Linked DNA regions of Lytechinus pictus. The protein of the gene in region 1 binds, or shares a complex with, the protein of each later gene. Links are inferred from orthologs where the notes say so. Each region holds a gene or a part of one and is shown in the gene's direction. Other genes may lie near its edges. The genes, in order: eukaryotic translation initiation factor 3 subunit D-like and eukaryotic translation initiation factor 3 subunit F-like.

The links.
Region 2: eukaryotic translation initiation factor 3 subunit D-like (region 1) and eukaryotic translation initiation factor 3 subunit F-like share a complex: the UniProt entries of both Drosophila melanogaster proteins name them as parts of the eukaryotic translation initiation factor 3 (eIF-3) complex. The link is inferred for Lytechinus pictus from reciprocal best matches to the Drosophila melanogaster genes eIF3d1 and eIF3f1.

Annotation. Positions count from the first base shown.
Region 1 is NC_087254.1:36,520,149-36,527,914, reverse strand, and holds the start of eukaryotic translation initiation factor 3 subunit D-like, read left to right. Parts: upstream 1-4,325; 5' UTR 4,326-4,528; coding exon 4,529-4,654; intron 4,655-7,766. UniProt on the Drosophila melanogaster protein: mRNA cap-binding component of the eukaryotic translation initiation factor 3 (eIF-3) complex, which is involved in protein synthesis of a specialized repertoire of mRNAs and, together with other initiation factors, stimulates binding of mRNA and methionyl-tRNAi to the 40S ribosome.
Region 2 is NC_087252.1:22,051,217-22,059,403, forward strand, and holds the start of eukaryotic translation initiation factor 3 subunit F-like, read left to right. Parts: upstream 1-4,880; 5' UTR 4,881-4,918; coding exon 4,919-5,048; intron 5,049-7,649; coding exon 7,650-7,720; intron 7,721-8,187. Other genes in the region: mitochondrial import receptor subunit TOM70-like, read right to left, coding at 985-1,221. UniProt on the Drosophila melanogaster protein: Component of the eukaryotic translation initiation factor 3 (eIF-3) complex, which is involved in protein synthesis of a specialized repertoire of mRNAs and, together with other initiation factors, stimulates binding of mRNA and methionyl-tRNAi to the 40S ribosome.

The DNA of each region.
Region 1 (7,766 bases):
TTTAAATATTGACGACGAAATTCACGACGAAATTCGCGACATCGTAAATTTCGTCGCGAATTATTCACGACGAAATTCACGACGTCGTGAATTTCGTCGCCAATTTCGTCGTGAATTTGTTTTGCTTGCCTGGGCGGTATGCGGTTTGAGAAACCAATTCGTCTGCTGCTAATTCCTGCACTGCAGGGTCGATCTACATTCATTTAGTATAATGCAATTCTGTCCATTAACCTTTCGCCTAACAACCATATGGTCCAATAACCATTTGATCCAGTCATCACTTCGCATTGCCTGTTAGGTGTTCCAGGGGCGGATCCAGCCTTCGCCAATAGGGGGGGGGGGGCGGAATTATTTTTCAGCCATATTTTCCCCGATCGGCCGCTCGAAGATGATTTTTGGTTTCTGTGAAGGGGTGGTCTTCTTAGCTTTATTCTTATAAATCAATATAAATATATAATATCATAATCCTTATTTATATAATGTGAGCGCGAAGCGCGAGCTAATTTTTTTTTGGAAATCTTATGTATTTTTTCCTATAATTTGAACATTCTGGGCAATGTTTGTTTTCCTAAAAAAGATGTGTATGCAAATAAATAATTACTACAAACGCGAAGCGCGAGCAGAAATGAACTGGTGGAATAGGTACCTGTTAAAGACAGCATGCAGTTAGTCATGAAGACGTTATATATTTTAAAAATCAAATAATGCGAGCGCGATGCACGAGCTGAATTTTTTGAAATTTTTACTTAAAAATGGAAATTCTAAGGACTTTTTGTAACTTAAACAGAATAGGTATATAATAAACAATTGATGCGAGCGCGAAACGCGAGCTGAAAAATTTTGACATTTCTACATAAAGAATGGAACATTTTAATCAATTTTTGTAATCGTGAACAGGATAGCTATATAACTAAACAATTGATGCGAGTGCGAAGCGCGAGTGGAAAAAAATCGAGATTAGACCTTAACACGGGACACTCTATTCATGTTTTGTAAATTTGGAAAAGAATGAGTAATTCCTACATTAATGATGCAAGCACAAAGTGCGAGCAGAAAATTGTTTATATTGTGATCTGAAACTGGATAATGATTTAAATAGAGAACAAGTTGAATATCTGAATAAACATGCGCGCGCGTGTTTCATATTTAGACCTAGAATCTAGGCATTCTAAATACATCTTTTATCATGAAAATCAAAGCGAGCACGAAGCGCGAGCTTAAACTATTTGATATTCTATATTTCAAGCACTTTGTAAGAAAATTGTAAAGTGGATATGGATCACACAGAGCTGATTTTTTTCATTATAATTCTTTGAGTTTTGACATAGGACCGGTACATCCTTAGGACATATAGGACATCTCATCATATAAAAATGATGAATGTCTTCCTATTCCTCTTGCTAAGCGCAAGATGAAACAAAAGGGACAATTCAATTATTAAATTAATATCTTATTCATTAATGCTTAATGAGGGCGTGAAGTCGATGGCCTGAAAACTGGACATTTCATGCATTTGTAATTATAAATAGGATGCATCAGTTAATATATTTTAACAATTAATGCGAGCGCAAATTGCGAGCCTAAATCTGTGCATTGTCAAGAAAAGGGGATTGTATAATCAATATTGAGACATACGATCAAAATGCGGGCGTGTAGCGCTGGCTGATACGTTTTGACAATCAGACCTGAAAAGGGATATTTTGAAAACTTTATGGAATACACGAAAATAATAGGTACCTGATAAATCGAAATTTGCGGGCGCGCAGCGCGAGCGGGAAATGTTAATATTCAGACCATAAAACTGTCATATTTACAGAGCACTTTTTAAAAATCAATTTGTAAATCACGCAAAATAATAAAAGTTTGATTTTCGAGATGAAATATGTTTTGTATATTGACTTCCAAACTTGATATCTAAACTCCATATTGAACAAGATTATGAAAATCACCTAACAGGCAATGTGAGCGCGAAGCACGAGCGAAATTTTTATGAAGTGACATGAAATATTCTTTTTATTTCCATGTCTTCCCCTCATCTTACTTTATTCACTCGTCTCCTCCTCTTCTTTTTTCTACTCTCTTTTCCCTCCTTTTTTGCTTTCTTTCCTTATTTCCTTTCTTTGCTCCGCCAATAGGGGGGGGGGACGGGACGGGCCCCTCGGCCCCCTCCCCCTGGATCCGCCTATGCATATGGATAGCAGTGGACATCGTTCTGTCGTTTCAATGTTTTTTTATTCAATTGGTCTAATGCCAACTCGTCAGCTTTCATTTGGTCTACCATCAGTTCGTCCACTATCCACATGGTCTAACTGCCAAGTTTGTCTAATAACCAAGTTGGTCCAATTGCCATTTATTCCATATGCCATTTTGTCTAATTGAACTAAGTGTTAATTGGGCGAAATTAAGGAAAATAAAATTGATATTAGACCAACTAGTTGTGAGACGAAATGGTCATAGACGAACTGGTGATTATAGACGAAGTGATGACTGGACCAAATGGTTATTGGACCATATGGTTGTTAGGCGAAAAGTTAATGGCCAGAATTGCATTAGAGTAAATGAATGTAGGTCGACCCTGCAGTGGAGGAATTAGCAGCAGACGAATTGGTTTCAACCCGCATACCGCCCAGGCAAACAAAACAAATTCACGACGAAATTGGCGACGAAATTCACGACGTCGTGAATTTCGTCGTGAATAATTCGCGACGAAATTTACGATGTCGCGAATTTCGTCGTGAATTTCGTCGTCAATATTTAAATTGGCGACGAAATTGGCGACGTCGTGAATTTCGTCGTGAATAATTCGCGACGAAATTGGCGACGAAATTCACGATGTCGTGAATTTCGTCGCCAATTTCGTCGTGAATATTCAAATTGACGACGAAATTCACGACGAAATTGGCGACGTCGTGAATTTCGTCGCCAATTTCGTCGTGAATATTCGCGATTTGGTCTATATGCGATGTCCCTTCAGGGCCACCATACGTCCCCGCTATTTTCATACCCCATGACTACATCGACAATCTCGCTCGGCTAGCACCGGCGATATCAAAGGCCGGATCCCGCTCTGACCATATCCCTACATATCATTGACCTAAATTTGAATAGGCCTAAAATCGACAGTTTGTCGACCTTTGTCGTTACTAAAAAACAGGAGGTCGGAAACAAGTCCACATCTACCCTAACCCAGAGAGCTCCCGCCCGCGCAGCGGGCGGGAGCCCAGAAGCTTACCGTGTATTTTACCATTGTCACCGGACTAGGGTGATTTATGGTCTAAATATTTCTCCAAATGAATTGTGAAAACGGAAAGTATACAATTACCACGATTATATGGATGAAGGTCTAACGAGTGGCAGATTCCTGACATCTGGGCACAGTCTGGAACCTCAAAAAAACGAAAAGTTTTCTCCTTCTACCCAGTCTCGATCGGCCATTTTGTTAGTGATTTTTAACAAAAATGGCCGATCGAGACGGGGTAGAAGGAGAGAACTTTTCGTTTTTTTGAGGTTCCAGACTGTGCCCAGATGTCAGGAATCTGCCACTCGTTAGACCTTCATCCATATAATCGTGGTAATTGTATACTTTCTGTTTTCACAATTCATTTGGAGAAATATTTAGACCATAAATCACCCTAGTCCGGTGACAATGGTAAAATACACGGTAAGCTTCTGGGCTCCCGCCCGCTGCGCGGGCGGGAGCTCTCTGGGTTACATCTACCCCTGATAATTGTCTAATCACAATAAAACTGAAATAAAGGTTTACTTTGGACCTACATGAAGCATTCCGATGAATGTCTAGATCTACGACAAACTATAGACCCCTACTCCCTAGATATAGTATTTTTGAGAAACTCAATGATCACACTTATTTGGAAGTCAGGCAAAAGAAATATTGAAATTGAGGTTTACATAGTGCGTAATACAGGATGAGCCCCGAACCCCGGCAAACACATTACAATTTGCAAGTGAGATCAAAACATGAAAATGAGCGTAACTTACTTTTATTCCTATGGAATGTCATTAGAATAGTATTGATGTTCCCTCCAAGATTTTCCGCTCCAATGAAGTTCACTCAGAAACCATGATTTCGAACATCAATTCTATAAACAGATAATTAGTCTAGCTATTTCGTTTCAGAAACTTCAAATTCGCAGAGTCCAAAAGAACGACACTTCGCACAGATATCGTAGGGAATTGTGGGACGGAAAAAAATGTTTAATGCATGAGTACATGAATAAAACATTAGCGTTTAATCCAATCATACAAGTGCATTATGCGTATTTTGACGTCATTCTCATGAATAAAACATTGACCCTCCAAAATCAACCTTCAAATTGTCCACCGGCAGCCATGTTGGCTGTGTACAGGAGCTTACGGGAGCTTACGTATACGTAAGATCGTATCTCTGTGGCACTGGGGTTTAATAGCGCCATCTCATGATCGGGTCACTTTAGTGTGATATTTGGCTGCATGTGCATGTGTGCGGCGACCGGGAAAAAAGAAGGACTCTCACCGAAATATCATAAAAATGAGCGCCCGATTCATTCCTCCAGAGATACAGGATAATCCAACAGGATGGGGTCCTTGTACGATTCCAAAGCAATTCAAAGATATTCCATACCAACCATTTTCAAAGGGAGATCGCCTCGGAAAGGTAATTACTAGTACATGATAGTAGTGCCAGTGGAATGCCTCTCTATTCATTCATGCATTATTGCATAGGCGTACCACTACCAGTTTCCCATATGTTGTGTAGAATGTGTACGGTATGGTACGGTACGGTAGGGGCCGACTACCGAATGTACGTCGTCGATGATGCGTGTATGACTATGACTATGAGTAGTCTTGAGAAGTCGAGGACTCCATTGGCCTGTTGCACGACCATGACGACGAGATGAGCGATACGTAGGAACGTCCTACTAGTACTACTACTCCTACTCCTAGGAGTCCTAGGTAGCCAGGCGGCTTCTAGAGAGTAAAAATCATTTACTAACGTAAGGTCACTCTCATAGTACGAAGCCAGGGCTTCCGTCATATACTTTTGCGTGTACCACCAAAAAACCTGAAACTTTCGCCCCCGAAATTTCTACTTTCTTTCTAAAAGATCTAGCCCTAAATCATGTACATGGGATAAAACTTCATTTCCGACATTTCTACGCTCTCGTTGTTATTTTTGAACAAGAATTCATCAAAAAAATGAGAGAAATGTTGTGTAAAGACGGAAGAGACTTGCCCGATGTTTTCGCCGCCATCTTGTTTCCTATTGTTCTTCGCCAACGTTACAGACGCATGCGTCGGGTAACGTTGGGGAAGAACAATAGGTGGGTGGTGTCCAAAGAAGATCATGCCTACGTAGGACATGTCTGGAGGTGTCTTTCCAAGGACCATTCTTCGTATCGCCCAAATCGGCTTTGTGAAACAGTTGAGCGATATCTCGTTCTTACGTAGAATGGTTCTACGAAAGACCCTTTCATGCAACAGGCCCCATGATGATGTCTTTTTAAAAAAATTTGACATATACTTCAAGGCTCCACATTAACTTTTTTTGGTGGTGGCCCGTTCGGGCCACCAAAACCATCAAATAATTTTTTTTGGTGGCCCGATATTAAAGTTTGGTGGCCCGAAAAATATAAAGAAAAACATTAAAAATGAATAAAACAAACTTCTGAAATATTAATTCTGCAGCCACTACCACTATATGTTACTTTTACTTTATACATCTTGTATGTAAACCTTGTTTGCTGTTATTTTACTTTGCTAATTTATAAATGTTTCTATCGTTGTATAAATGAAATGATTGAAAGAGAATAAATGAATTGTATTGTTCGCAGGTTGTGTGGACTTTTTTTTTAAATCTCTGTATAGAGCTAATGGTAAAGTAAATAAATAGTGCATAGCAAATTCAGTTAGATGTACAAATCAATGGTTTTTCCTTCCTTCCTCTTTGAATCCTAAAACCTAGATTATGCATGCCCCAAATCCAGTTTATTTCTGTTTTCTCTTTTGCAGCATATTATAGAAGGAGAAAATCACAGAAAAATATGCTGCAAATTTAGAACAATGCATAAAAGGGAGAAACAAACGAAAATAATTTTCAAAAAGTATATTACAAAAAGAAAACAAAAATAATAAAAGAAATTAGTGAAATAAAACAAAAGAAAGAAAATGAAGGGGAAAAAAGAAAAGAAAAAAATTAGAGAGAAAAAAGGAAAGAAAATGAAAGAAAAATTAATAAAACAGTTAATAAAAAAATGGGGAAAAGTGGAAAATTAAGAAGCCATTACATATATTTTTTAACAGCTGTGGCAACAGTCTATTCTGACTGGAATATAATTAAAAGCCAAGCAAATAATTTTCACTTACTTTTTGGGAATGGCACATTTTCATTTTTATATCCTTTAGTTTGTATTATTTTATTTTCAGTAGAAACATATTTTTTAATCAGGCATATTCAATGGGAAGGGGTATAAATGGTTTAACCACTGTCAAAAAAAAATGAAAGGAAAAAAAAAAGAAAACGGCAAAATTTATATCTGGAAAAAAAGTGTGAGAAAAGTCCTTCCCTATATTTGCCAAAATGTTGGGAAAAAAAATCACATTTCATATCAATGAATTGCCTTGCCTTCCCAAAGTATTTACTCTCTCAAGAGTGGTTTAAGAAGTCATTTATAAACAAGAAAGAAAGAAACTGTCTTGTTTGTTTTTGGCTAGAAAATACACAGCTTAAAAAAAAACCAAGTATCAACATACATACAAATGCACACGTGGGACTGTGATGTACTTGCCTATGTGTTTTTATGTGTATTAATTCATGTGGAAATCGGTCTTTTTGAGTCAAAAGAGAGGTCATAATTCCTCTTCTTAATACTTGCAAATAATCAGGGTACATCAGATTTTCGTAATATACAGTGCGTCCCAAAAAAAACTATACACTTTTGAAATGGCTGCCAAATAAAAAATGTAGCACTTTGGGGAAAAAGACTTACATATGTGGAAAGCCAATAAAGTCAACTTTCAAATGACACCAAAAAGTTGGAAAACTATTCATGCTTGAGCGAGCACTGCCCACTGAAACAAAGGGTATGAAAATTAGGGTGGGCTGGAATTAGCCTTCCAATTTATGTCAGTTTTTGAGAGGCAAATCCTTTCGAACTTGCAAAGTTAAGGGCGTTGTGATAAATTAATGATCAGCCGTGACCAGTCTTGGTTGCTTAAGCAAATGTTTTAAATTATTGAATTGAACTTTAATGCATGAGTGAACACAAATTACACTTTTTTGGCAGCATTTCAACTTTATCATTTGGATCTCAGCAATGTGTTCATGGGAGTCGGGAGAGTAAAGGGTGAGATAGGACTTAAGTGGGAGAAGTAGGTTGATGGAATAAGGGTCAACAGAACATTCAGCTTCCGCCCCCTCCCTCTTTCCCGCCCTACCCTCCCGTTGAGAGACTAATGGCTATTGTCATGTACACGTGAAGTCCATAGCAGAATGTTGATTTAATGATTAATTCTGAATTGGGGCATCAACTTTTTCCTATCAATCATTTAATCAACAATTTATCAGTAAATCAACTCATTCAATGTGCAATGTGATCAATCAAACATTCATTTTTATTCAGTAAATTACTTCATTAATCATCATAATCTTTAAATTTCTTGGTAATCATTCAATAAAAAAACTGATCATTAGCCACCGGTCACTTGGCAGTTAAGTTTTGAATAGGCTACAATCCAGGAAGTTAGACAGAGAGAGAGAGAGAGAGAGG
Region 2 (8,187 bases), on another chromosome or scaffold:
GAGCAAATTGTGATGCGATACCAGGAAAATTATTCCCTGAACAAGTGTGTATATTACTCAATACCCGAGCAATATTATGTGTCTTATATTGTTTAAAAGAGAGTGAATCATGTTGGTCCATACTTGTGTGGTCGTAAGTGCCTAAGAGTAAGACCACAGGGTATGGGTACGCGCACGTCCCTAAATGGGGAGATCGCGAACGGACGGCTGTGCGTTCGCAAGGGGCCTTGCCTGCGTGGAAGCCATCTTGATCACTTGAGAGTCAACCGGTGCGAGACGAGGACGTCTGTGTTTAGAGCCATCTACACAAATCAACCTTTGCTTCGCCCTTTCACCCTTCGAGTTTCAACTATACATCACACCTGCAACCATCTACAGCAAATACTTCACACCAACAACATCCTACAAGTAAGTTTGGGCCTGCTTTTTAGTTCGATATTCATTTCACCGTTGTCTCACACCAACTTTTGTCTGGTGATTATCTCTAAAGTTCCCTTTTAACCGCACTTTCCACCCTTTTTCCCTCACAGGATTTATATATTATTAATATCCCTAATTTTACCACACTTGATAAACCATTGTCATATCAAAACTGATAAGGCATGAGCTGTGGACTGGTGGCACAATGTAATTTGTCTCTCTAAAAGTTAGTTCCTGAAGAAAAAAAAAATTGTAGAAACGTCAGAATTTTTGTGGTTTTGCAAAAGCCCCGCCCCTGCCACGGGCCCGAGAAATAGTTTTCCAGGCAGTAGTCTCGTATATTCTGCACTGTGCAATTGAAACAAGGGCCAGCCATGACTAGGACAGAGAGAGTAGGAGAGTAACCTCCAAATCCAATCACCAATGCCATGCCATGGCAATGCCCATGTTAACCGGTTAAGCTCCGCGGACGGAGGCTGAGCCGGCAATGCAGGCTCGCCGGGCGTGCCGCCGAGCCCAAACCCTGTCTTTCGCCTAATCATTGTCTTTCCACGCACTACTCACCTGTGTGTGTTCCACGCTGCTGTTCTTTCCCGCATCCCCTTCGCCATTGGCTTTGGTATTTCCAGAAGTTCCTGCAGTACCTGACTTAGTATCCGAGCTTTCCTCTGGACTCCCACTTCGAGTAAGATAGTAGGCTCCAAATGCAAGTCCTGCCACTGCTATTGGGGCTCCGACTGCTATCGCAATTTGCCATTTTGTCCATCCAACATCGCTCCCTGGCCTGCTACTCGCTGCCATCTTGGATTACGAAGTGAAACGCCATAAGTTGTGCGGTACGAACTATTCCCGCACGTGCGTGATCATTGCGGCGTTTATTTTGCATTATCATAATGCATAATGATACGGAAAAAGCTACAAAGAATATTCCCTACATAAGAGATAGATTCCTTAACTGAGTGTGGTGTGATGAAGTTGCTCGGAGTCGGAGACATGCAGTCTCCCGGGGCAGTCTCAGAATTTTTAGCATTTATTTTATCAACCTTGCATTTTAGGGAATGAATCTAGGTCTACATAAGATGCCTTTTAAAAACAATTCATTGGCCAGTAGAGAATCCTGGTTTGAAAAGTGATCGGGGGGGGGGGGGGGGGGGTTAGGGGCGTCCCACTATGGGTGGGGGCTCAATCCGGGGGCTCAATTAAGCTGTTATATTTTGTCGAGCCCCCCCCCCCCTTCAAAGAGAAACTGGTCTCTCACTCCATTCACCTCCAACCCCTTTTGACCGCCATTCCATTTAATTTTACACAACTTGAGTATTGTATGCTCTATTCAATTATAAAAATTCATCATTATTTTTTAAATGAAATATTACCATTAAAATATTTAGTATCATCATTATTATATTTATTATTATTTTCATTAGTATTGTTATTATTATTATCATCATCATCATGATTATTATTGTTTTAGGGAGTGGCGTACAGATCGATGCGGGGGCTTGGGGATCCCCCCCCCCCCCGAAAAAAAAAGGAAAGAGAGAATTAAGAGTAAAATATAATATTATTTCCTCAATGTGACATCTAAATCTATCACAAAACTTGATTTTTGTATTTAAAAAGTAGAAATTTATTCTCGCTCGCTTCGCTCACTTGTAGCTTTCTATGAACTTTGCCTGATATACACCAAATCTGGCACCATAAAAATTTTCGGCTCACGACGCCACCGATTTCAGTCCATGGTGGCAGACCTAGGTAGGGGTACATCCGATATTTGACTAATTGTGCCCCCGCCCCCTCTCGAGAGCAAAAAATAAAATTATTGTCAATTAAAGGTTTTCCCCTTCATCTTTTATTTTTTTGTGGAAAATAGGTAAAAAATAAAAATGTCTTTAATAACGCTGAGCGGGCACCGCCCGGTAATTAAGCTTCGGCACCGCCCAGTAACTTTATTAGCTTGCGCTCGCATTGCTTTATGAGATATACTGCTTGTTATTTATTTCAAAAGTGCTTGAAAGATCCAGTTTTCAGATCTGTATATTAAAAAATAATAATTTCGCGCTCGCATCAGTAATATGGTTGCGTCAGATGCTATCCTGTTTTTATATTGCTATAAGGTTAAAAGAAGATGACTTTTTGGTCGGAAAAAAATAAAGATACGCTTCGCGCTCACATTAATAAAAATTTAATTAAATAGCTACCCTGTCCTTGATTTTAAAATAGGCTAATAATACCAATTTTTAGGCCGGAAATGACATATCTTCAGTACACACTTCGCGCTCGAATCTAATATTGATTAGTAAAATTCCTATCCTGTTCATGATTTGAAAAAGTGTTACGATTGTCCAGTTTTTAGGTTAGAAGATACAAACTTTCAGCCTGCGCTTCGCGCCCGCATTAATTGTTTAGATTCCTATCCTGTTCATAATTTTTTTTTTAAGTACTAAGAATGTCCATTATTTAGGTTGGAAAATAAAAAACATTCAGCTCCCGCTTCGCACTCGCATTCATTGTTTAGATTCCTATTCCGTTCATTATTAAAGGACAAGTCCACCCCAACAAAAAGTTGATTTGAATAAAAAGAGAAAAATCCAACAAGCATAACACAAAAAATTTCATCAAAATCGGATGTAAAATAAGAAAGTTATGACATTTTAAAGTTTCGCTAAATTTCACAAAACAGTTATATGCACATTGTGGCTGGTATGCAAATGAGGAGACTATGACGTCATCCACTCACTATTTCTTTTGTATTTTATTATATGAAATATGAAATATTCTTATATTTTCCTCATTGTCAAGTGATACAACAATTAATTCCTCTCTGAACATGTGGAATTAGCTTTGTTTAATACTATATGGTTCAGTCAAGTTGGTCCTTATTGTCAAATCTGTAAAAAATAAAATATTGTATAATTCAAACAATAAAAAACAAAAGAAATAGTGAGTGATGGACATCATCGACTGATTCATGCACCTAATTGTGCATTATGTTTTGTGAAAAATAAGCGAAACTTAAAAATGTCATAACTTTCTTATTTAACATCCGATTTTGATGAAATTTTCAGAACTATGCTAGTTTGAGTTTTCTCTATTTATTCAAGTCAGCATTTTCCTGGGGTGGACTTGACCTTTAAGTGCTTAGAATGTCCACTTTTTAGGTTGGAAAATCAAAAACTGTCAGCTCGCGCTCGCATCTATTATTTAGTTGAATTCCTATTCTGTTCATGATTTATTTGAAAAAGTGTTACGAATGTCTAGTTTTTAGGTTGGAAAATAAAAAACTTTCAGCTCGCGCTTCGCGCTCGCATTATTTATTGAGGCCTTTCATCTTTAGTTAGGAATACCTCCCCTCTTCGAAATATGTATATATATAGGCCTATATGTATACATATTCATACCTATTAAACGTCTGCTACCGGCGGTTTCACGCCCAGACTTGAGGACATCTTCAGGCAGACTGACGTTATTGACTATTTTGTGTGGTGCGGCGGGTCAATTTGACGCTTCGGTGGTTTCCGGTTTGGTCTCGAAACCGCCGTTAGCAGACGTTCAATATGAATATATGCTCTGCTTTATATAGCATTGAGCACTTTGCACAATCATCGGCATCTCCCGTCACATCTAAGGATATATATATGTTTGAGTTAGTTATTCTGGAGAACATAAAAACGGAAAACTCAATTGTGTCCCCCCTACCTTCAAGGAGAGATTTCCGCCCATGTACCCATGTATGTACTGAAGGCCCTCTGAGTCGCTCCTGAATTGAAACAGCAAAGCTTTGTATGTGCTAGTCTTTGCGTGGAGACACACTTGTTGATCAAAGTTTCAATCAGGGTCTGTGCCTGCAGACTATATACTCTCAAACGGGACATAGACATTTTCGGGGGCTTTCCTGGGGATTCTTATATTGTTACTTTTTTTCCTCCAGAAACGGACCCATATATCTAAGGATTATTCAGTAGAAAAAAAAGGAACCCATGACTAAGGATTTCTTGCAATAGCAAGACCCATGTCAAGGGTTTTATTTTTATTTTATTTTATTTTTTGCAAAAAATGACCCAAATGGAGCGGCACATCCCCGCGTATGCGATATACACGCAAGACCCCCCCCCCCCATCCCACGGGAATTGTTTCATGATAGAGGAGGAACTATTCTCACTTGCGTAGGCCTGTAGGAGGAAGGGGGGGGGGCTTTGGTTGCGCCCCCTGTACCCCATCAATTTTTTTAATGAAATAACTTGATGATCTTTTTCAATATATTTTTTTTTTATAATAGCAAACACAGTCATGATCGATGTAGAAACGCTGGTAAGAATTTCAACTGGAGATACATTCTTAAAGCTATTGGCCCGATGGAAATAATTTTCAGGCCACCGGGGCCTATTTTGGCATTTTCTTCAGCTGTTTCCAACTCAAAATAGCTCCACTCACCCCCCCCCCCCCTCATCCCCATCGACTGATCGAGAAACATTTATTTAGCCTGGCCCTTCTCCAACCAATGATGGCAGCATTCAAAATGGCGGCCTCAGCAAAAGTCGTGAATATCCATCCGGTAGTTTTATTCAGCATTGTTGACTCTTTCGAGAGGCGGACAGATGAATCAGCACGTGTAATCGGAACTTTACTTGGTAAGTATTCAAGGATAATAACTTCAGCAAAATAAAATAATGCCTTGATGGAGATTCTGTACATTGAAATGAATGATATTCCAGCGCTGTGTACCACACGTGATTTTGGGCTCTGGCATCTGCAGCTCCTGAGTCCTGGCCCGAGCCCGAGGCTTGTGTCAGTGACAGTGGCCAGTGGACGAGGGGGACTCGTGAAGAAGAGCCCCTATCTGTACACCAAGGGGGGGGGGGGGGGGGTGACGAAGGGCTGCCGGCTGAGCCTGACTCTGTTGTCGTGTTGACTGTTGAGTGTTGTCCTTCCTGTTTCGTGATTTTTTTCTTCACCAAATTGTGTCTTATTTTTTGTCATAAAAAAATAAATTAAATTTCGAAATTTCTTGTAACACTAACAGTTTTCTAGGGAAATGGTCTGATTGTAATATTCTTCACTTTCTATAACTTTTTTTTCACAGAAATTTGTATAAAAAAGTGTAATTTTCTGCACTTTTCCTACAGCTCACGATTCCCATAGATGCGCGTGTATTTACTGTAAAAATCTAAAATTAGCTGTGTTGGTGTTGGATTGTTAATGTTGGTGCTCGACTCATCTGAGTGTGATTTAGCAAATTAATTCAGTTACACTAGATCTAGTGGTCCTATTGTATTGATACCAGTAACCCTTGGGTAAACTTATTCTCGAGGTCGGACATCCGGGGATTTTCACTCGCAAAAGTAACTTCTGCATAGCAACCGATCGCGAGGGTGCAAACAAAGCCGGAACAATCATAGCAACCGATCGCGAGGGTGCAAACAAAGCCGGAACAATCGGGGCGCGCAAACAAAAGTCCATTGACTCAGCTGGGTTGAGATATACGTTGAGATGCCACCCCTCTTATTTTGATAACAATTGTCACCCCCACTTTCAAAATGAAATGATCGTGAGCATTTTTTTATAATCTATATTTTGATACCAAATATTGGTAACTTGAGCAGGCAGCTTTGAAACATCGATTGCTTAATGTGGGCGTCTCAAATCGTCGCCCGAGAAAAATGGCAGCTAAAATTCGCACCGTACGGACCAAGCTTGCAAGTCCGAATTTGACTGCGCTAAACTCCTTTTTCTTTTGCTGGATCTTTTAACCAAATGTTGCAGCATTTCAGGGAATTACTGAGGATTAATATCAGATGCCACAAGACACTTTTCAACATTGCAAATGATTTCTAGAACCATTTTGGTCATGCAGTGACAGGTGAGTGGCGCAACAGTAAAAAAATTGCACATGGCGACTCACTGCGCATGTAGTGATGTACGTTAAAACTTCGGATAAAGCTGGCCATCTTGCCTTGTTCTTGGAACACCCGTACACACAACATATTTTCACCATTGTCCAGCAATTAAAATCAAAATGCAGTACAAAACGCGATGAAAATATAATATAACAGTTCAAATCAACGACTTCCAAAAAACTTCAAGGAAACTGCACAGCCAACACGTACGCTCGCACCCTTTGTTTGCACCTTTGCCCTTTGTTGTTAGGGAAATCACGTGACTGTGACGTCATGCCGACCTCGAGAATGAGGTATATATGGACTGCTCTGTATTCGGATGACGGTGGAACTCATCTCTCTCCAAAGTGCCTCAGTGGGGTGATAGAAGGGCTGGTATGAAAAGCACCTTGGGAATGACAATTTACACAGTCATCCTACTAAAGCAGTCAATGTTTATATAATGTTACATGTCATGTTCTCAAAAAAATGTAATTAATGTACATTATCCATATTCCAAGATTAAAGGAGAATGAAACTCTTGGAGCAAGTTAGCTTTTGTGAAAGCAAAAAAATCAAAGAATAAGATCAACAAAAGTTTGAGTAAAATAGGACTAGCAATAGAAGAGTTCTGAGCATTTGAATGTCGAGATCACTAATGCTATGGAGATCCTCCCATTGGCAATGCGACCAAGATCTATGATGTCACAGATGAACAACTCTCCCCTTTTGGACACTGAAAATATACCCCAAAACATCTCTTTTTGCTCATTCTAATCATATGACAAACGATTCATCAATGATATAATGTTGTGAAACCTCTGACTTGTCCTCTCATAAAGAGAACACCTCACCTTGTGATAGACTCTATAAAAGTGAGAATATAAGTGAAATAAGTACTAAAGTAATGAGGGAGTTGTACGTGTGTGACATCACAGATCTTGGTCGCATTGCCAATGGGAGGATCTACATGGCATTAGTGATCTCAATATTCAAATGCTCATAACTTTCTTATTATTCATTCAATCTTCCTCAAACTTTCAACGATATGTTTCTTGGATTTTTCTCTTTGATATGGATTCAGCTGGTTTCAAGGGTTTCATTCTCCTTTAATAATACCCAAATAAATGATGAAATTTTTAAATTTAAAAACACAAAAAAATACATATGAGGAGGTGGGGGGGTCATTTTCAAATAATTCAAATAATTCACTGTGTCTATATACAAAGAGATCAATTTATTTTAGTGTAAAATGTAGGTTTATCAGATTGTAATTTGCAGAATTCATCATTGATCTACTTATGATTCAATTAACATAATTCCTTATTGTGGCCTCTGTTTTTTTTTTTAATGTAGGTACGAGTATTCAAGGAGTTGTTGAAGTCACAAATTGTTTCTGTGTGCCTCACAATGAATCAGAAGATGAGGTGAGTTAAAGCTGCTCGGAAATGCACCATCTTGATACCTATAGTACCTCGTATTGACCCTACATCATTATCTACGATGCAACGTTTTGATATGTTCATTCAGTCGTATATATATGTTTATTAAGAATGATGAATAATTTCCTTGTATTTTTTACACTAAAGCATCCATACTGCAATATTTTTCAAGAAATAAAAAATGTGTTTACTGTGCTTCTAGGCATTCCTGTTTCTTTTTTGAAAGATACCAATCTAATGGAAAAGAAAAATCAAAATTCACAATAATATCTGACTTTCTGATTGTTGGATTACAGGGTATAATGGGATGGGAGATTCACTATGCTATGAGTTAAAGCTAAATTACAGTAGTTGCAGTAAAACACTAATTTCGTGAGAAAGTCTGTAAAACCAAGGTGAAGTATGACTATATCATCGTGGATCTAGATCTGGTACTGTTACATAAACTGAAC